Linked DNA regions of Mus musculus. The protein of the gene in region 1 interacts with the protein of each later gene in a pairwise test. Links are inferred from orthologs where the notes say so. Each region holds a gene or a part of one and is shown in the gene's direction. Other genes may lie near its edges.

Region 1 (4,066 bases):
TTCCAGGATAGCCAGAGTTATACAGAGAAACCCTGTCTCAAAAAAAAAAAAAAAAAAAAAAAAAAAAAGTGGGCGGAGAGAAAGAATGCCAACAGGCAGATGGAAAGTAGGCTTCAAGATGCAACGCACTGCACACCAAGTGCAACATGCTTGCAGTAAAATAAAGGGTACCTCTACTCGTTCAAGCCAGTGGGATCTAGTACAGTCCACACAGCCTCATCGTGCACACACAGTCAGCTAAGTCTGTATAAAGGATTCAAAGTAAAGTGGCCACAACCCGGAACGTGGCCAACAAAGTTCAGATTTGTTCCAAGCCTTTAAAGAAGGCATTTTAGTGAGAGAGGGCGCCTGGCTTCACCGGACACACAGCGACAGTCATCTGGCTACACCACTCCAAGACTGTGCATGTGCACATGTACATTGGCTAGGTGGCAGAGGCCTTTCTGGCCACCTGTCTCAATACAGGCAAGCTTTTCAGAATCTGCTTTCTGAATGAGTTACAGGCTCCTTTTCAAACTATGTGGCAGAGTTTAGTTGGCAAATATGTCCTCTTCTACATAATCAGAAGGGGTCTGCCACGTTTCTACAGGAATGGCAAAGAAAACGCTAAGGTGCCTGATTCTCAAGCAAAAAAACCCAAAACAAAACAAAAAGACCCCTGGCCAAAATGAATAGAACGCCGTCTGGGCCTATCTTTTGCTGACCCATCGTCCCTAGCCTTATGGATCGGCCGCTCTTTCCAGCTGCAGTGCATATGGGAGCCCCAGGAAGAAGACTGGGGAGTGGCGTGGAGGGGTGACAGGCGGGGGTTCAGAAGCAGGAGCCCCGAAAAGCTGGGCGGAGGCTCTGGGCACTCAAATAGGGTTCCAAAGGGGAACAAAGGTTCAAAGGATTTCAGGGAATCTGAGGCCAAGGGAGCCAAGCACGCGAGGGAAGCGCGGAAGGGACACCCGGAGCACCGGACTCCACCACGGTCTCACCAGAATGAGCGCGGCAGCCGCCAGCGCCACGCCGAGCCCCAGCAGCTGCAGTAGCAGCGTAGCCATCCCGCAGCTCCACACTTGCGGAAGCGCGGTGCGGCGCCGCGCCCCGCCCCAGCCGGCCCCGCAGGAGAGGCCGGCCTAGCCCTCGCCCGCCGCCCGCAGCGCCCCCGCCTGGCCGTGCCCCGCCACGGCAGGAAAGCCGAGGCCTCCCCGCAGCGCCCCCGCGCGGCTCCGCCGAGGACTGCAGGCCGGTCACCGAGTGCGGCAAGTCAAAGCCCTGGACCTGTGCACTGGCTTCACCCCTCGCGCCGTGCAGAGCAGCCATCTAAGGATGCCCGGCGCCGTGGAGGGTTTTAGGGTCACCCCCTTTTCATCTCGTGCGCCTGCGTGTGTGTGGGAGTGTGTTCGTGCACAAGCGCGCGGGCCCGTGGGACCCCGCGAGATTGGCGACTAGCGGGACGCTCGGGGTGGCCGGAGCTGGCGTTAATGCCTCGGGCGCAGGAACACGGTAGCTGCACTTCCCTAACCCAGGATCCCTCCGAGTGCCCTGGGCTGGAGGCACGCCTGGCGACCGGAGGGCGCAGGCGCGGAGGGCTGCGCAGGCGCAGAGCGGGCCGGAAAAATGGCGGCTGGGTTCAAGTGAGTGGCGGCGCGCGCAAAGAGGGCCCGGGTGCGGGTGTGGCGCGCGGCGGCGGGTGGGGGCCCCCCCGAGGACTCGCGGGGCCGCGGGAGGGCTCTGCCCACTCGAGGCGCTGAGGGACACTGCATCCAGGACGGCCCGGACCTCTTAGCCGAGGGCCACGCCGCTCTCCACGCAGGGCCGCCCTCGGAAGGGACTGGGAAAGCGTTGGGCGCGCTCTGGTTAAACCCGGAGCCGCCCACGCGTGCAGCCTGCAAACTCGCGTCTGCGGTGCGTGCACCGTACCTACCTGCAGTCACTTGTGGCCGCGGGTCGGCGAGGAGGCCAAACGTATGTACAATACACTCTTCCGTGGTAAAGTTGTGGATGCTGGCGAGTGTGGTTTATAACGGCGCGAAGTCACGCTAAGGTCCCTGCTTCAGAGCACGAGTGATGTGACTGACACCCAGGTTGACCCTCTTCTGGGTGTGCCAAGGGCCTCTGTTCCTCCTGACTATGGCACAGTTAAGGTCACCGCTGGAAACCGGTTGCTGCTGTGTGGCTTTTATAAATACGGGCCACACAGTTTCAAACGCCTGAGCCTGTCGAGATCACGCCTCAGACACCACACTCTCAAGTTCTGGGTTTCTGCTTTAGGACGCACTGACTGAGACACGTTTTAAACATTGTTTCAGAACTGTGGAGCCGCTGGAGTATTACAGGAGATTTCTGGTGAGTGAAGGTGGTTTTGTACGTTAGAGCTGTGGGTAAAAACACCAAGCTTCGGTTCATTTAAATGAATGAGGCTTAATGCTGCGTACCCGAAATACATCTATGACCCGTTTCCTTATAAACATTTAGAAGGAAAACTGCCGTCCTGATGGAAGAGAACTTGGTGAATTCAGAGCCACAACTGTCAACATAGGTGAAGATAAACTTCCTTTTAGTTGGGTGGGACATCCTTGGTGTCACGTAGTTTTTCAGCCAGCTCTACTATGTCTAACGCAATCGGGTGATGTTAAGAGATTTTTATCATCACACCAACCTTGTAGTTGATCTAAACTTTAGTTCAAATTGGGAGACCGAAGAAAAAGATGAAAAAACGTTAAGTAGTAATATCATTTTCAAGTCACTGACCTGAACCGGTCAAAAGTTTCAGGGGGTGGGTGGGTGGGGGTGGGGGGAGTTTCAGAGGCAAACAAAAAGATTTAAACTACTTTGTAGGAAACTTTGTGGTTATTTTCTTTTTTTTTTTCTTTTTAAAATTTTTTATGAATACCAAGTTTACCTTTCCAGGTTCAATCAGTACAGCGGATGGCTCTGCTCTCGTGAAGCTGGGGAATACCACGGTCATTTGTGGCGTTAAAGCAGTAGGTTTCCTGTATGCCTGTAATGTCTGAATTCCAAGTTAACTGCATGCTTATGAGGTTGTACTTGATCAGGGGCTGGTATTTGGAATGATATTCCCCAAGGTTGGTTTTTGTTTTTTTGTTTTTTACATGTGAGCATCATTAACGCTTTACAAGGTGAGTCCTCAGCACGTCACACGTTAGGGTTTCAGCAATATCGGTTTTGAAATCGACTGTTACAGTGACACCTTTAGCCATCGATAGCTTTTGTTCGTCGTAGGAATAGTAACTGTCTGCTGAGCTTTTTAGATGCTCTACTGTTACCAATCTCTGTAAGTAGAAGGTAGGCAGAGTCTACTGACAGAACCTGTGCTTTCTCACGTTTCACTGAGCAGCTTTCCTCGTTTAGGTCTGTGGTCAAGCTGAAGTAATAACTGTCAGACCACATACTGCTTGCCAGGATTATACCTGGGACTTAGTGGCACTGTCTCACTTGGGCCCTCAGGAGTAGGCAGGTACTGTTTATCTGTCCCTGTGTCAGCAGAGGAACTTGAGAGATAAGTAACTTTCCCCAGCTCTTGCAGTCTCTTGTGTGGATCTATAGCTGCACTGGGCTCTTATTGCTATATACCTCGCTTCTAGCCACTACTGGCTCCCCAGCCTGGTCATGTCAGTGTCGCTTGGGGATTAAATTCAGATTTGGCTGCTGAACAAGTCATAGGGTGGGCATAATCCCACTGGTCCTCATGGATGAGCAGCACAGTTTGATTACACTGCCCTTTAACCTCCCTGGGAGTCACTAGGAAGGCAGTGCCAGCATCCTTAACATGGGTTAATTGGCTGAAATGGTCTCTGGCACGGCCTCTGTGGATGACTAGAATGTCATCGTGTTGCGTGGCTTTTCTCACTGGAATACATTGTTTGCTTTTGTAGGAATTTGCAGCACCACCAGTAGATGCCCCCGATAGAGGATATGTCGGTGAGTTAAATGCTCATAATTTTAATGAATTATAAGTAAGTTGAGAGATACCTCTGGCAGTGAGGTAATTGAGGTGGATAGCAATTCCCAATGTTCAAAAATAGAATAACGACTCCCCAGCTCCAACCCCACAAAG
Region 2 (4,263 bases), on another chromosome or scaffold:
TACCTCAGGTCCACCCACAGGAGGTGGTGTCTTCCCAGCTTGTCCCTGCCTACAAAGGATAGAGACTCTCTCACAACCGGCCCCTATTCCCCTAGCTGTGGGCAGTCCTGAGGCCTGGGGGAATGTCCTAGTATTGCCTCTCACCCAGGGTCCGGTGACACCACCTCGGCTGGTCTCTACCCAGGAAGCTCGCCCAGGAATACCCTTCTCGATCGGCCCCTCTCCCACGGGAACGGGATGGAGCTCCACTCTGCTTCCTTCCCAGCATCCCGACGCTACCCTCATAGCCTGCACCTTCAACCACAGTTCCAGGATGCTCTCATGGCCAAGTGTTCCTGGACGACCTTTTCTCTCACAGCTTGGAGAGCTCCTATTGTCTAGCTCCTCCTCCCCAGATACAGTCACCCACACAGACCCAGCAGGCCCAACCACCTCGGGCTCGCCCACAGTCCCGTTCACCCACACTGTCCTGGGGTCCATTGCTGCCTCAACCGAGCCTGCAGTCCCAGGTATCCCAAAGGCCCTGTTCACCCTAGCGGGGACTGCGGGCTCCGCAGTCCTCTTCTCTAAAGGCTGCTGACCATTCTGTAGCCACCCTATGTTTGCACAGAGCATCCGCCGCACTGAAGATCTCACCCGGCGCCTTACTCCATAGCCTCGGGATAACCCTGCACCCCACCTCCTCGCCCACAGAGGCCGAACACCCCGACGCAACCTGCGGGCCCTCATGCAATGAGCCGGCATCTTCGCTGCCAGTGTACACCTGCGTAGCCCGGGCAAGGGCCCCCGTGCCGGCGTCGCAGCTCCTGGACAATTCCTTTCCCCAATGCAACCTCAGACACGCTCTCTTTGCATCTGTTCCCCCGCACACGCACTCACAACACTCGGATCCAGTCCTCGCTGCCTTTCTGCCTCCCAGCTCTCTCCAAACCCCCGCCCGATCCCGGACGCCGCCCCCGGCCCCGGCCCCCCTAAAGTCTGACAAATAGAAAGGTAATAGGAGGGGCGGAGCTGCAAGGCAAGCCTGGGGCGAGGTCTCTCACTGTCTCTCTGTCTAATGCAGTTTCCCAGAATTCCCCCAGCTCCGGCCCAAGCCCACCTGGTTTGGGCGCGGCGCGGCCACCAAGAGATCGTAAGGCGACCCCACGCTAGGCCTCGCTTCCGGCCTCTCGCCCAGTCGTCATGGCAACAGGCGCGCGGCTGTTTGGGAGCCGTTGATCTTCCTGAGCCATTTGAGGATCAAGGTGTTGTACCGCGACGGGCTTTGCCGTCACTGTCCATGAAGCCAGGGTGGGGACCAGACCAGGTCAGGCGTCTAGTTGTCTGAGGGAAACTGGCGCCAAAAAGAAACTCCAGCAGACCAAAAGGACGGCCCTAAGGAGTTATGGCTATTCAAGGCTCCCGTAGCACCACTCTGCTGCGGCGGCCCCGCCCACCCGGAACCTTGTCCACGCCTTACTTGGGCCCCGCCTTGGGGGCGCAGGACCCTAGGGCTCCTCCCGTGCTCCTCTCCGCACTGTTGTACCCATGGCCACCTTCGAGGAGGTGAGCGTGCTGGGCTTCGAGGAGTTCGACAAGGCAGTGAAGGAGCATGAGGGCAAGACCATTTTCGCCTACTTCAGCGGTTCTAAGGATACCGAAGGGAAGAGCTGGTGTCCGGACTGCGTGGAAGGTGAGGCTGGGACCAGGACTGGGGGTTGCTGCGCCACAGCAGTGCTAGGAAGAAGGCCCCTGCTGAAGTCAGAAAGTGGGATGAGATGAGGATCTTGGTCCTGCAGACCCGCAGAAGCGCCTGAGCTGTACCCCGTCTCTCGTTAGGCCCTTACTGCCCCACCCAAGGATGACCCTCATTTTTATCATGGATTCGGATCTTGGAACCAGGTTCTTTAAAATTCTCAGTTCCCCAAACGATTAGTGTCTCATAAAAAAAAAAAAGACCAGACTCAGGAGTTGATCTTTCCGTCATCATATATGTATGCTGAGTTTTCTGATTGTGTCTTAAAGACAATCAGGACTAGGACTTAAGTGATTCACGAGTCCAGAGGACACGCGACTTTAACATCCTATCTTACAACCGGTTAAAGTCTAAGACTGGGGACGGGAGGGCGTGGGCTATCGCAGTTGATGTGTAATTACTTTTTAACTCTTTTAAAAAGCTGAGCCAGTCATTCGAGAGGGGCTGAAGCATGTTACCGAAGACTGTGTGTTCATCTACTGCCAAGTAGGAGACAAACCTTAGTAAGTCATGTATACCGTATCTCCAGACATGGACTATATTATTAAAAAGCTGGGTAAAAAGGACCTCAGATAATTGGTCAGGCTCTGTGTTTTAGGTATTGTCTGATAAGCTAAACAATTAGAATTACTGAATTCATATTTACAGTTTATGTTCAACCACATATCATCATTAATGAATTGGGTCTGGAATAAGTTCAGAACTCTATTGACTTTACATTTGTTTTATCTTAGCCACACTTTAAACTTTGCAGAAAGTGACACATAAGTTACAGTTCTCAAAATGTTTAAAGGTTAACAAAAGCAGTGGTTACAAGTATATTATATATAAGTCAACTGTTGAGTAAACTGTAATGAACCAAGTAGTATTTTTCATTATCTGTTTCATTTTGGAACAGCTGGAAAGACCCAAATAATGACTTCAGACAAAAACTGAAAATAACCGCAGTGCCTACACTACTTAAATATGGAACAGTAAGTGTCTACCTTTATGTTTGTAGCTATAATGTAGTTAAAACTCAAGTTGTTTTTTGAGTCAAGTTTGAAAAGATCTTGACCTTTGATTTCCAACATCACATTGTTGTTCAGAGTGCATCAGAAACACACAAGTTGGTGTCCATTCCTCTGCCAATCCTGACAAACTATTAATAATGCAGATATTAGTGTCTGGGGTGTATTTTTAAGCCACTTTTAAGATTCTGTCTTCAGAAGAAAGTTGACTCATTTCTGAAAGCACCTTTGTCAATGTTTTCTAAACCCACTTTTCAGGCTTAAAAGGGCTCTCCCTCTATTTCAGCCCTGCCCCTAGAATCCTAAATTAAAGAGTTGAGGGAAAGAGATGGCACCAGGCATGCTGTCTCTTGTTTTCAGCCTATGGGGCTTCCTAGTGTGGAAATACAAGGCCTCTCAGGCCAAGTGTTTTAATGATTCATCTTGACACAAGCATCCTAACTATTTAATAAAGCTTGTTATAACTAGCTGATGGCATAATTTGTGTTCAAAAACTTGTCATTCAAAGTAGAATTCACTCCACCCCTAGTAATATTCATAGCAACAGTGAAAACTTAACCATTCTTTTTACAGCCTCAAAAACTTGTGGAGTCTGAGTGCTGTCAATCCAGCCTTGTGGAGATGATCTTCTCTGAAGATTAAGATTTGATGACCTTGCCGGACTGTGGTGGCACATGCCTTTAGTCCCAGCACTCGGGAGACAGAGGCAGCTGGATCTCTTTGAGTTTGAGGCTACCTGGTCTACAAGTTGAGTTCAAGGACAGCCAGAGCTACAGAGTAAAACCCTGTCTGGAAAAACCAAACCAACCCAAAAAAGCCTGATGATTGCAATTTTGTATTGATTGCCTGGTTTGTTTAAAAGCAGCCACATTATTGCTTTGAATTGATGAGTAAATGATGTTATTAAATCAGTGTATATCTAAACAATAAAGAATTGAAATACAAACCATTAAGTTTTTTAACACGTGGCTATCTAAAAGATTTGAGTAAAATGAGTCTTCAGTATGGTGGTAGTAGCTCAAAGGAAATATTGAAGATAGAAAGTAACTTACTAACTTCCAAATCTGCAGCAATTAGTATCTATTACCTTAAGTTCTGTGTATTTGCAAAACCCTTTCTGCCTTTGAAATGGAGAACTTCATTAAACCATTTAGGAAAGACATGGGATTCATATGCTTAACTCAGGCAGTTTTCTTTCACAAATGTCTAAAATGTGATTCTTTTGTTGTGAAACAGGCTGGTTCTCCTAGCCACAGGCCAAGTACTATCTAAATCTTCATTTCTTCAAGTAACAATTGTGTCAGGCATAGTGACACACACCTGTAATATTATTTTAGATGCTAAGGCTAGAGGATAACAAATTTAAGGCAAGGGTAGACTACAGAACCAGACCTTGTCACAAATTTAAAGCCCAACTATTATTCTGCAAGTAAAGCAAGAATGTGGGCTGAAGAGGTGGTTCAGTGCCTAAGAGCACTGGCTGTTCTTCCAGAGGACATGGTTTCAGTTCCCAGCACC
Region 3 (3,190 bases), on another chromosome or scaffold:
GTGTAATAAGACATGTTCATTGTTAAGGTTTTGGGTCAAGGAGGGTACTGACTGAAGTTTGGGGAAACCATGAATTACAGTTTGATTTTTGACCGTTATGCTGTTCATAGATCAGCTGTATTCAGGCGGACAGAATGGGAAGAGTCTTATCGGGATTCTCGCCTACTGAAGGGTCTTAGCACCTGTACGTCACTTACCTCTTACATTCAGGGAATGTAGGCTCCTCTGCGGATAACAGCTCTAATTAGGAGGCAGTGGCGAGTTCCTCACACTGACATTATTTTCTCCCACAGTCCCGTCACCAGGACAGATTCAGCACAGAGTTCACAGCGTGGGCCACTTCCCAGTGCCCATCCGGCAGCCCCTGAAGGCCACAGCCTATGTGAGCCCAACTGTTCAAGGCAGCAGCAGCAGCGGCAGCAGTGGTAGCAGCGGCGGCAGCGGCAGCGGCATGCCTTTATCCAATGGCACGCAGTTATATTCCACCACGGGCATCCCTACTCCGAACAAAGCTGCGGCTTCTGGGATCCTGGGTCGCAGCGCCCTTCCGAGACCTTCACTGGCAATAAATGGGAGTAACCTGCCTCGGAGCAAGATTGCACAGCCTGTCAGAAGGTGAGAACTCCGTTCACGGGACTGAATCTGTGCTTGGAAGTTGCAAAGTTTCTCCAGCTCACCCTCACCTTTCCCTGGCTCAGGTCAACCACGGGTCATTGTCCTACAGGCGCATCCTGGGTCCCTCTTTCTCAGCAGGTGATGGATGTCTCTGTGTAGTCACATTCTGCTTCCTCTCACTTGATTCTTATCCCTTGGCCCACTGTACCCTGCCCCAGGTTCCGTGTGTGGCAAGTTTCCTCCCTCCTTCAGGTCTGCTCACAGTGACACTTCTGCTCGAGGTTTGAAAAGTCTTAGTTTGATTCATCTGGAACCCGTTTGTATTGTTAAGTTCCAGATGGCTCAGGCAAGCTTTTTTTTTTTCAGCCTAAAAATGCCAAGTTCTTTATAGGGTACGTTTTAGACAAAGGTAGTGACAGTAGCCTGGCTTATTTTCCTTGGTAAATAAAGAGATGTGACATGCTCATGGCTCCATATCCATTATTGGGGACCCTCCATTTTTTTCTTGAATGCATATCTTGAAGGAGGAAGATTTCTATCGTCATAGAATATGAAGAGGATTTGTTTACTTCAAACTTGAGAAAACATTGGATTTTCAAAGTTATTTTTCAAAATCCTGAAATATTTCAAAATTACTTTTCAGTTCTTTGTTGCTATCATAGAAAAAATATTTCAAATGCTAAGAATGTATGCATGTGCTCAACAAAGCTGCTTTATGCTTGTAGCTGTTTTTCCATCAAGGATCGTACCTTTTCCTTTCTATCTTTTTTTTTTTAACCTTGTGCACGTGCACACATGTGACTCTGCTCAGGCCTCAGCTCCAGCAGACAGGCAGACACTAGGAGAAGCCTGAAGGACATAACCTGATACACATTTGTGACAGTGCCAACAGCTTGTCCTTATGGGATGAAGGAACCCCGATGGGAGAGGGGACCAGAGCAAGTCATGTGCCTGGCGGGATTACTAACAGCGCGTCTGCCTTTTCCTCTCTTCATAGCTTCCTGCAGCCTCCCAAGCCTCTGTCTTCACTCAGCACACTGAGGGATGGAAATTGGAGAGACGGTTGCTACTGATGCAGTTTTACGGACCCTTGAAGAATGGGAAGAAGTGAAAATGAGGGTGTGTTACCTAGCTGGCTGGGTAACCATGGATGCTGGGATGCTTTCCCCTTCACGCTAACCACACGCACGGCATCGTTTTCAGTGGACCAATCACCAGAGACTAACGAGCTCACCTACTCTCTGCCTGAGATACTGCGGCGTTCCCAAACCCGCGGCCGCGGTATCGTTACCTTAGATCTAGGAAGTTTTTGTAGAACTGCTCCGTATCTGAATACTTTTTGAGAGAGATTGAGGCGTATCAATAATGCTTTGCCATATGAGGTTTTTAAAAGTACCTTGTTCATTTTACCTACATGTTTTAAACACCTTCCATTACATGTTCTGCATTTTAATACATTGCATATTTACAACTAGGTTCTATAACATGGTTTGAATTTTAATTTTTTATAGTTTACAGGAATTTTATTTTTTGTGCCTATTTCTTTTTATGCCTATGTGAACCACTATGGAACAACTTAAATTTTGTGCCATAAAAATATTTTTGTGGTAAGGTACTATTTTTTTAGCTCTAGGGATATATCAGCAAAAACACACCATACGATTTGAGACATAATTTTACGTTGAACGAGCACAATTTAATCTAAAGCGTTGCAAGGAGACAGCCAGACGGCAGAGTTAAACGGTCTTGTCTTTTTCATTGTTAATTTATTGTCTTACATGAGTTTCATATTTATGATGGTATCACAAGCTCATTGCACTTAAGACCCGCAATGTTTGCTACTCAACCACACAATTGATTTTCAATACTTTATTACAAAGGATGAAACTGTAATGTTTTATTAACAATGCTTCTGGAAACGAATGCATTTTAAATAAATCTTTTTGATAGACCTTTTACAAAAACCCATTTGCACTAATGAATGCTTTCTTAGGGTCTATGACTTACTGTTTGTTACTGTGTACACTGCTGTTTTGGAATGTTCGGAAATAAAGACTCTATTTCAGCAATATCAGCTCACGCATGAATGTGCAGCATCAGAAGTGGGGCTCCCACGCCCGTGTTTCATTACAGCTGGGGAAGCAGGCGCCGAGGTGGTGTTCGTGGACGGGGGCGTGGCCGACACACTCGGAGAGCCCAGTTGTAAAGATTACATTTTCTCGTCTCCACAATTAGTTTGATAAGAAATCCGAGGCTTAGCTGTGTGACAAGATTTGGTCCCAGAAAGGCCACTAAGCAGAGTCTGTTGAGGACTGGGTTTTGAATGAGCACAGTGTCACTGGGGACCCGAGCAGCCTTGGGATGTTGAGTTAGAAAACTTCTCAGTGTAGGTAAAATAGGAAAATACTGCCACTGATCTGTGAACGGCCTCCTGTGAAGACAGCATGGCTTCACCAAAGCTGTGAAGGGTGTCTGTGGTTACTCATCAGCTTTTAACTTTTCTGTACATCGTTCTATACAGAGCTGAAACAGCTTGTAGAAGTAACATTTACTGAAAATTGATAGGTACCTGGAA
Region 4 (4,310 bases), on another chromosome or scaffold:
TGGGTCAAGGATTTTTAAAAAAAAAATTATTTAGCTTGCGATATATTTTCTAAAAATAGCACATTTATAGGAATATTTAAATATTAATAGCTTACATTTTAAGTAACGTGTTGCAATCCTACCACCTGGCATGTCTTGGCACCATTCCCAAGAATGCCTACACCTTTAAACCTAAGGTAATTTACCACTTTTCTTTTTCCAACACAACGTCAAGACCGAAGTTCTAATAAATTTAAATGATACGAGATGCTATTGTATGCTAGTAAAATAAAATTCTGACGTCCCAAGAGGTTAAGTTCCGGATTCGCAAACCCAATTGGACTGCTCAGGTCGGATTCCCCGTAGCGTTATCACCGAATTAAAAAAAAAAAAAAAAAAAAAAAAAAGAAGTAATTTCTTCTAACAGGGACAGCTCTTTGTGTGGCAGAGCGCAGCTGCTGTGACAGAATGAGCAGGCATGCCCTTGGCAAAGCCAGATCTTGTCAGAGTGTGAGCTGTCCCAATTTCAATCAACTGTCAACGCTTCATTGAGGGTCAAAATGGCTTAGGCTGGCGGCTCCAAGGGCCTCGGGTGAGGTGCCCGGTTTTCTGCTCTAAGCGTTTAGCCACCCCTAAGAAAACGCTAGGAGGGGAGGCCCTGAGTGGGGTGCGGACAGGTGCGTCCTCTGGAACTACACAAAGGGCCGGCGGCACCGCCACTGAGCCCCTAGCAACTGCACGCAAGCTGCGCTCGCGCGCTTTCCGCCGCCCCACGGCGCTCAGGGCGGGAGGCTCGCCGGGAGGGCGGGGCAGCGCGCGCAGGTCAGCGGCGTAAGCGACAGACACCCTCGGGCCTGCTCGCGGACGCGGCCTGGGAAGCGCGAAGGCAGTTCTAGGTTCGGCACCGCTAGCATTGTAGGGATTTGTAGTCCGCGAGCCCGTGGGGCACCTCCCCTCCGGGTAGGCCGACCCAGGCGTCCCCGCCCTCTGCACGAGGACTTCCTGCCGCGGCTTAAACTACAACTCCCGTCGTCCGCTGCGCCGAGGGCTGAAAGCGAAAACAAATTCTAGGCTGCGAGGTTGCTGCCCTCCGCCCGGCGCCCCTTCCCGCTCCCCGCCCCTCAGGCGCCCTCCGGCGAGGTGGGGAGACGAGCGGCCGTGGCTTTCTCTCCGCGTTTCCTCGGTTCTCGGCGTGGGGTGCGTGCGGGAGACGCAGGCCTCGCTTAATCTCAGCCGGGCGCGCCGCCGGGGCTTTTCTCGCCTCACACCGGTCGAGACCCGGAAACTTGTGGGGGCGGCGACCCCCGGGCTGCCCGCGGGCGCGTGTCCCTCCGCGGAGGCGGCCGCGTGCGGATGGCCATGCACTAGGCTGGGCTCACCTATGCTCCGGGAGAGCGCCGGCCACCGCCTCGGGCCGCTGCCGCCACCGCCTCTTCCTGCCGCCGCTCGCCGTGTCCGCGTCGGAGCCGGAGCCCGAGCCGCAGCCTGCCCCAGGCCCGGGCGTCGAGCAGCCGGCGGCGCGGCCATGTGGGGCTAGTTCGCCCCGCGCACGCTGCAGCGGACCGGCAACATGGAGGCAGCCGTCGGCGCGCCCGACGGCGTGGACCAGGGCGGCGTGGGGCCGCTGGAGGATGAGACGCCCATGGACGCCTATCTGCGCAAACTGGGCTTGTATCGGAAATTGGTCGCCAAGGACGGGTCGTGCTTGTTCCGGGCTGTGGCCGAGCAGGTAAAGGACCCGGGCCGGAGCCGGGCGGGCGCGGGGCTGGGTGCGACATGCCGCCCGCAGCTGCCTGGCCGCCCACGGCGGGGCTGCGCGTGGCTCGCTGTCGTCACAGCGGCCCATTGTAACGCCGGCACGGGACCGAGTGAGGACATCTCGGGCGGCCTGCTCGCAGCCTGACCGCCAGGGACCCAGCGACATGCTGTTTTTGAGTTGTGTTCCGCGTTCACCTGCGCTCAGTTTTTAGCAGCCGAGTGTTCCCACTAGTTAACCTCATGTTTACTGGAGGAGGTGCGGCACTCAGTGTGACTGCTTCACATTTTTTTTTTCCTGTTGCTGGACTTTGGAATGCGGGGTAGTCGGTCTCACCGGTGTCACTCGAAACAGGCGGCCAACTTTGCTGTTTAAGGAAAGCAGTCTTCCTGTATAGGGTCTTCCCAGTGACTTAATCTTGAGTAGGTCCCATACTATACTATGTTGGAATCAGGCAAGAATTTACTCTTCTAAAGGCCTTTAAGTAATAGGATGGATTTTCAGTATAGGCACATGTCGGGTTTTTTTTTTTGTTTCCGTTTTTTGTTTTGTTTTCCTTATTGGTCAAAAATTATTCCCAGTACAGATCGAACATTTTACCAAAGAGAAGTGAGTTAGAACTCAGGAGTGGGACGAGTTCCAGGGAAGAATACTCAAGGCTTTTCTTTTTTGAGAGCGAGCCCTTTTCCCCATGTTATGTAATCAGATGTAGGTGTGGGGTCACCAAAACCCATCCTATATTTGAAGACTAGCTGCTAAAGTAGTTGGATTAAAAAAGTTTCACATTACTGCTCCAGTTTGTATTTCATACCATTTACAGTTTGCTTTCCTTTGGCTTAATCTGGAGTTTTTATGGTTTTGTCCCCTCCCGCCCGCCCCCTTTTGTGAGCTAACTAGCTTTTAAGATTTCTGTTTTAGAATCACCAGGCTATGTATTTTTCAGAGTATGTAAATATGGAACACTTTGCACTTATGACAGGTATGTCCATTGAAACATTCTTTGATGCTTCCCAAACCATCCTACCATTTGATATCTCTTATTTTCAGAAATGTAGGAAGCTCCAGTGTGGGTGCTGTTTCCAGCCCAGTCTTTACTGTTACATAGGTAAACAGTCTGCTCCATTTGTGAGTTTTCCAGATGAAGAAGATTGTCTCCTTGTCTCAGCCTTCTTGGCCTCTAGCACCTCTAGAAGCTGAAGAGGGGAAGTGAAGTCATCCCATGGTGTCGGTTTATATTATAGTGCATTAGCAAGTTTGTGGAGGATGGAGGTAGAGGTTAGTGTTTGGAGTTGAGTTATCCAGGCCTATTTAAAGTGAGACAGAAAGGTGTGTTTCTGCCCATGAGACATGCCACAGATCCTTGGGGATAGAAGAGCAGCTTGGGGGACTCAGTGTCTGCACAGTGGGCAAGAGCTAGTTGCACTAAACTCATTGATGGGGGTAAACTCCGTTTCAGCCTTGGGATCTGGGTTAGTCTTAAAGGACCTAACCTTTACAAATTTGGGGACGCTTTATTTTGAATATATTGAGCCTACATCTAGGGGAAGCAACATAAGTATTCCAGTAGATCCAGACTGAGTGAGGAAGTAATGGTGAGGAAGAATGTGTTAGCCTCCGCTGCCTTTAAAAGTCTGTAGGAAGGATTTGTTTTAGTGGAATTTCTTTTCTGGTAAATAGTTCAATAAATATTTTTAAGAGTCAGGAAGCTAAATAGTCCTAAGAGAAGAGGATTCGAGCGCGCTTGAGATTAGCCTTTTCCCCTTCAGATTACCTGATTTAGAGATGCTTTTTCCTTTTTTTTTTTCTTTTTTCTTTTCACTTGTGGATTTGGGCCTGCAGGAAGCCTGACCTGAATCAGCTCCTAGCCTTGTAGCTAAAAATAGGGCACTCTTAGAGGACTTGCTAAAACAGTGTCTCAGCCTTTCCCTGTGTTTATCACTACCTTGTTTTAAAGCTTCTACCTTTAGCCTATTTTCATGGAGCAACATAGCAGACCACTTGAATTTTGAGTGTCCAGGGATTGAGAAGTAATTTACTATTTGAAGAGTTGTCATTTCAGTCTTGCTTTTTTTGCATTGTTTGACTTACTAAATTATCAATATTCTACACTTCATGTACATTGATGAGAGTTTTGCATCTGGATTGCAGGTTCAGGTTGATGACATGTTCTAAAATCTTTGTTAAAAGGAGAAAAAACAGATACTTGTGATGTAGTTACTGATGAGAAGTGAGCTTTACTAATTTCTGCCTGCCACCTGTTGTTAGGTGAATGGCTTGAACACAAACCGGAGGCGCCTTGCTGACAGGCAAGCCCTATCAGGTGACACTGTGGCTCACTCAGATTAATAATGCTTGATCCATAACAGTGTCTAATGCAGCTACTGGGAAAGCTATATTGCCAAATGTAATTTGTTGAAATGGCAAACAGTTGGTGTTTTTGAAAATGCGTGGACGGTTCTTGTGATGCGGGAAGCTTAGACTGTGCAAGGCTACTTTCTAGTAATGTCCCAAAACAGTAAGAAAAGAGACTCCAGCTGCGTTTTACACCTCTCCTGGATAACAACCAAGAACTGGA
Region 5 (4,219 bases), on another chromosome or scaffold:
CCTGGGATTAGATGCTAATTGATCTGGCATCTACAGTTAGAGATCAGGTTGGTAATATTGAACAATGTTTTCTAATAATACCCAACAATTGTTATAAATAGAAGTATTTCAACTAAGAGGCTCGATTTGGGTGGAACCTTGGAAGGCAGCGAATGGGTCTGGGAAAGGCGCTGAGCTGGAGCGAGGACATTCCGAGGCAGGCGTGGGCTTCCTGAGCCTGGGGCCAAGCCCTCCAGGAGTCTGGGGAGGGCCGGGACCGGAAGGTGGGGGCGTGTCAGAGGACGGAAGCTCACCCCTAAAACGTCCCCTCCCTTGCCCCAGACCACCACTCCCCCCCCATTGTAGAGCGCGCCCTCTGGCGGTGGAGCAAGTTTTATCCCGCCTTCCCCATGAATGAGAAGCTGCAGCCCGCTGCGCGCGAAGTCGGAAAGTAAGGTAGTGAAAGAGGCAAGACAGGACCTGGCAGCCACCACCAGACCTCTAATGGATATTCGGACCGCGCTGGCAGCCTGCCTCAGGGCCGCTGCTGTTCTGGCTTGCCTCCGCCCTTCCCTTCCTTCCCACTTGCTCTCTCTTCCTATGGCAGCCCCAAACATCCGAGGTACCTTGCGCACCTGCCTGTACCCTTCGCAATCTAATTTCCTAGCACCAGTCAGAGTTTGGGCCAGGCAGCCACCTGGGTAAAGACGGAGGGAGGAGGCTGGCGGGTGGTCAGAGTCAGCCCCAAGTTACTTGTGGGAAACAGTGGCTATGACGCAAGTTTCCAGGGGGCCCGGGTCGGCTCGAAAGGGAGCGCGCCAGAGTGGCTCTGCTCCGCTCCGTGCAGTGGCAATTATGAAAATGCAAAAGCCTGAAGCACACACCCAAAAGAGCCTTCCCTTTGCTGCTGCAGCCCCGCCCAGCGCGTCCTCCAGGATAGCGGTGCGCAAAGACCCCGCACTGGGCAGTCCTCACCGGACCCTGGACTGCACAGACTGGGATCCCGTGCGGTGGGGCTGGCCTTTTTTTTTTTTTTTTTTTTTTTTTTTTTCTTTTTAGCTACGCTTGCCAACCTGTCAGCTGATGGACCTCATCACCCATAGTGGCGCATGTAGCTGGGCCGCTGTTCACTCCATTCACATCGTGTCCCCCCACAGCCAGCTGTCGACCCCTGATTCCTGATCCCAGGGTTAAGTCTGCAGACCCATGTAGTAGTCGGTCCCAAGGAGCTTGCGCCCTTCTCGCCCCAGCATCCAGTCGCCCTGGGGGGGGCGCTGCAAATAGTCCTTTGTTTACATGCAATTCCTTACTCCGCGGAAGGAGGCCGGGGAGTGCTGAGTTTTCACCAGCTGTTTCCCGCCTTGAAACAGACATCTGATCAGCTGCAAACACACACACACACACACACACACACACACACACACATACACACGCCCGGGGAGGCAGGCTGGAGAGACCTCCCGCCCGCCCCTCCCGCCCGCCTCCCTCCCCTCGCCGCTGCTGCTGCTGCCGCCAGCATCTGGGACCGGCCGATTCTGCACCTCCGTCCGGCGCTGCCCTTTGATTCGGATTTCCATCTTGCATTCTCCGGCTGACCGCGAGACCTGGCTCGTGCACAGGAGGGGGGCCTATCGCTATGGAGTATTTCATGGTGCCCACTCAGAAGGTGCCCTCTTTGCAACATTTCAGGAAAACAGAGAAAGAAGTGATAGGAGGGCTCTGTAGGTGTGTACTGCTCCTCCCCCCAACCCCTTCTTCCCATTGCAGCCCCCGGCCAGCCCGCCCGGGCGGGTGCGCGTGTGCGCACGCATGGCTCGCGCCTCCGAGCTCGCTCGCCTTTCTTAGCTACTGGGTCCGCTGCAGTCTCTGGAACCCTGCTTGCGTTGCCTAGGGACCCTCTTCCCTTGGAACGTGGGGACCCCGAGAGGTTCTGTCCACTTTTGTCCGCTGCAGGCGGGCGAGTCGCGACGTTTGTAAATTGCAAACAGACCCACGTGGTGCTGCAGCAGTCCCGGCCATGCTTGCTGCTGGTGGCTTTCACCCAGCGCTTCCTCCTCCCCCCGCCAGCTTTGGCTTCCTTCCTTTTCCTTGCTTACTCGCGCTTTCTGGGAACCCTCTTCTAAGGAGGTCGTTTTGGGGGGGGCCCGGAGTGTGCGAGAGGACAGCTACAATGCTGCCATGCCGCGGTTCCAGGCTGCGGGGAGGGGGGGCGGGGAGCCGGGTGGTGTGAACGTTTGCAGAGAACAGGGCTGCAGCAGGGTTGGGGGCGTGCTCGCTCGAGGTTGCGAGGCGTACGTGGACCTTTAGTGGCCATGCTTCAAGCAGGGAAGTTGCGGTCCCCCACACGTTGGCAGTCACTAGTCGCACGTTCTCCGCCCGCGCTCGGGTGCTGTTTACTAGCGAGGCCTGGACGTGACTCTGCAGCCCTCTTGGAGTAGGCGGGCCTCTGCGCGCACGACCTCACGGGAGCTGTAGTTCTCTATGCCGGGTCGGTGCTGCATTGTGGGACTTGTAGGCGCTTCGGGGCCACGCTTTACTTGCACAAAGCTCGGCCGTAACCAACTAGGTGGGCTAAGCAGGCCAGGTGGGGAGGCCTTTTGATGAGGGTGCGTCTTAGGTTGCTTCAGGGCTCTAGTCTACTTCCTGTTGCATATGGGTCTGCAAACTTTGCTGTCCCACTTCTGTTCCTCAGTCATAAATGCAAAGCGTTGAATCTCCTGGTCGGGTGGGTGGTCGGAGGTCTCTCTTGAGATACCCCTTAGTGAGCTTGATCCTACCTAGGTTGCCCCAGATCCACTCGCTACTAAATCGCGATTGACCAGTGGCCGAATCTCTCTTAAACTCTTGTTAAATCGTCATGTCTGAGATTTCTATTGCCGGCCCTGGTATCTGCTCATTGAACCCTACAAGCCGGCTGGGTCCGGGCGGGGATGGTGGTGGTGCACGCAAGGAGAGGTTTCTCCAGCGCGCTTAAGTTTGAAACCGACGATCTCTTTCCTGCCTGCCGTGCTACTCTAGGAGCGTAATGGCTCCCCAGGGCTGGGGCCACGTGCTCCGACACCCCAGCCAGGCAGGGCTGGGGCTGGAGGAGGAGGAGCCCGCTGAGTGGCATAGGCTGGTTGGTAGACAGCAACGCCTGTGGGGCAGGTTGCTGCATAGGTATAAAATCCAGGTAGGGATCCCACTTTACTTTCAAGTTGAGAGCCAATACCTAGGGCCTGTTGGTGGGTCTAGCAGCTGGCAGCCCCCTCTAATCCCCCCCCCCCCAGCTGGCACTAAGATACGGTTCACCTGAGGGCCCAGCAGGTACAAAACAGCAGTAACTAAACTCTTGGACACTAAATATTCTGGGGACCTACTTGCTAGAATTTTCTCTTCGAATCACTACAATCTTGCTGTGAGTCCATTTGTTTTCTGATTTCTTTGTAAAGCTGGAGAAGCTTTATAAAGCTAAGAAGGCACCAGTTAGAGCAGATATTCAGCTGGACTCGATTCCTAAGTTTGCTGTTGTGCTGGCTCCTCTGAGCTGGCTTGGGGAGTGGGGAGTGAAGCCTGATTAGCTCCATATTCTGGAGAGGTCATTCTGGTGCTGGTCCTGCATTGGCTTTGACAGTAGGAACCTCTGGTTGCTATGCCTAAGCCTTTCGGTACTCTTGTCTTCACTCGGTCCCTTTCTCCAGACCTGTGTTGCTGGAGGGCAGTAGACCTGCCCCGCCCCCAGGAACATAGGGTGTTTTCAGGTCTAGTAATTGAGGCACCACAACCTGCCTACAGGCACACAGGTCCTTAGCCTGTCTTGCTTACAAGGAGACAGTTGTACACTGGGCATGGAGGAACATAGCCTCTAGGCCTGTTCATTTTCAGCTGGAGCAACAGCTGGGAGATCTGTCCTGGATGGAGTGTGGGCTGGGCAGGAGCTTATGGTGGATGGACTCTGGTTTGTTTCAGACTGTGGACTTTGCTCCACCCCTCCCTGTTTAGCTGGGTTCTCTCTTGTTTGACTCCTATGCCTTCTGGGCCAACCAGAAGGAGCCATAGGGCAGTGTGGCACACTTTGATGTTTTGCTTGACGTTTTGGACCTTCTGCCTAATGGTTCTGTGAGACTTGGATATAGGCAGTGCCTAGAAAGTGAGATCCAGACTCTAAAGAGCAGGCGCATGGTAATGTCCAGTGGCTGTGTGTGTGTGTGTGTGTGTGTGTGTGTGTGCAAGTGTGCGCATGTGCATAGGTGACTTCCTC

The links.
Region 2: the proteins of Exosc8 (region 1) and Txndc17 interact in binary tests that used the Homo sapiens proteins (3 or more experiments, as listed by UniProt). The two-hybrid records come from large-scale screens. The link is inferred for Mus musculus from reciprocal best matches to the Homo sapiens genes EXOSC8 and TXNDC17.
Region 3: the proteins of Exosc8 (region 1) and Slain1 interact in binary tests that used the Homo sapiens proteins (3 or more experiments, as listed by UniProt). The link is inferred for Mus musculus from reciprocal best matches to the Homo sapiens genes EXOSC8 and SLAIN1.
Region 4: the proteins of Exosc8 (region 1) and Otud4 interact in binary tests that used the Homo sapiens proteins (3 or more experiments, as listed by UniProt). The two-hybrid records come from large-scale screens. The link is inferred for Mus musculus from reciprocal best matches to the Homo sapiens genes EXOSC8 and OTUD4.
Region 5: the proteins of Exosc8 (region 1) and Tfap4 interact in binary tests that used the Homo sapiens proteins (3 or more experiments, as listed by UniProt). The two-hybrid records come from large-scale screens. The link is inferred for Mus musculus from reciprocal best matches to the Homo sapiens genes EXOSC8 and TFAP4.

What each region holds. Positions count from the first base shown.
Region 1 is NC_000069.6:54,732,564-54,736,629, reverse strand, and holds the start of Exosc8 (exosome complex component RRP43), read left to right. Parts: upstream 1-1,265; 5' UTR 1,266-1,605; coding exon 1,606-1,622; intron 1,623-2,297; coding exon 2,298-2,334; intron 2,335-2,463; coding exon 2,464-2,527; intron 2,528-2,898; coding exon 2,899-2,972; intron 2,973-3,884; coding exon 3,885-3,930; intron 3,931-4,066. Other genes in the region: Alg5 (dolichyl-phosphate beta-glucosyltransferase), read right to left, coding at 981-1,046. UniProt on the Homo sapiens protein: Non-catalytic component of the RNA exosome complex which has 3'->5' exoribonuclease activity and participates in a multitude of cellular RNA processing and degradation events.
Region 2 is NC_000077.6:72,206,097-72,210,359, forward strand, and holds the start of Txndc17 (thioredoxin domain-containing protein 17), read left to right. Parts: upstream 1-1,457; 5' UTR 1,458-1,527; coding exon 1,528-1,672; intron 1,673-2,156; coding exon 2,157-2,238; intron 2,239-2,633; coding exon 2,634-2,709; intron 2,710-3,318; coding exon 3,319-3,387; 3' UTR 3,388-4,263. UniProt on the Homo sapiens protein: Disulfide reductase. May participate in various redox reactions through the reversible oxidation of its active center dithiol to a disulfide and catalyze dithiol-disulfide exchange reactions. Modulates TNF-alpha signaling and NF-kappa-B activation.
Region 3 is NC_000080.6:103,702,224-103,705,413, forward strand, and holds the end of Slain1 (SLAIN motif-containing protein 1), read left to right. Parts: intron 1-293; coding exon 294-615; intron 616-1,612; coding exon 1,613-1,688; 3' UTR 1,689-2,684; downstream 2,685-3,190. UniProt on the Homo sapiens protein: Microtubule plus-end tracking protein that might be involved in the regulation of cytoplasmic microtubule dynamics, microtubule organization and microtubule elongation.
Region 4 is NC_000074.6:79,638,357-79,642,666, forward strand, and holds the start of Otud4 (OTU domain-containing protein 4), read left to right. Parts: upstream 1-1,506; 5' UTR 1,507-1,549; coding exon 1,550-1,708; intron 1,709-1,747; exon of another isoform or gene 1,748-2,157; intron 2,158-4,310. Other genes in the region: uncharacterized protein Gm51579, read right to left, coding at 997-1,506.
Region 5 is NC_000082.6:4,556,913-4,561,131, reverse strand, and holds the start of Tfap4 (transcription factor AP-4), read left to right. Parts: upstream 1-1,411; 5' UTR 1,412-1,615; coding exon 1,616-1,704; intron 1,705-1,744; exon of another isoform or gene 1,745-2,467; intron 2,468-2,474; exon of another isoform or gene 2,475-2,545; intron 2,546-3,174; exon of another isoform or gene 3,175-4,140; intron 4,141-4,148; exon of another isoform or gene 4,149-4,219.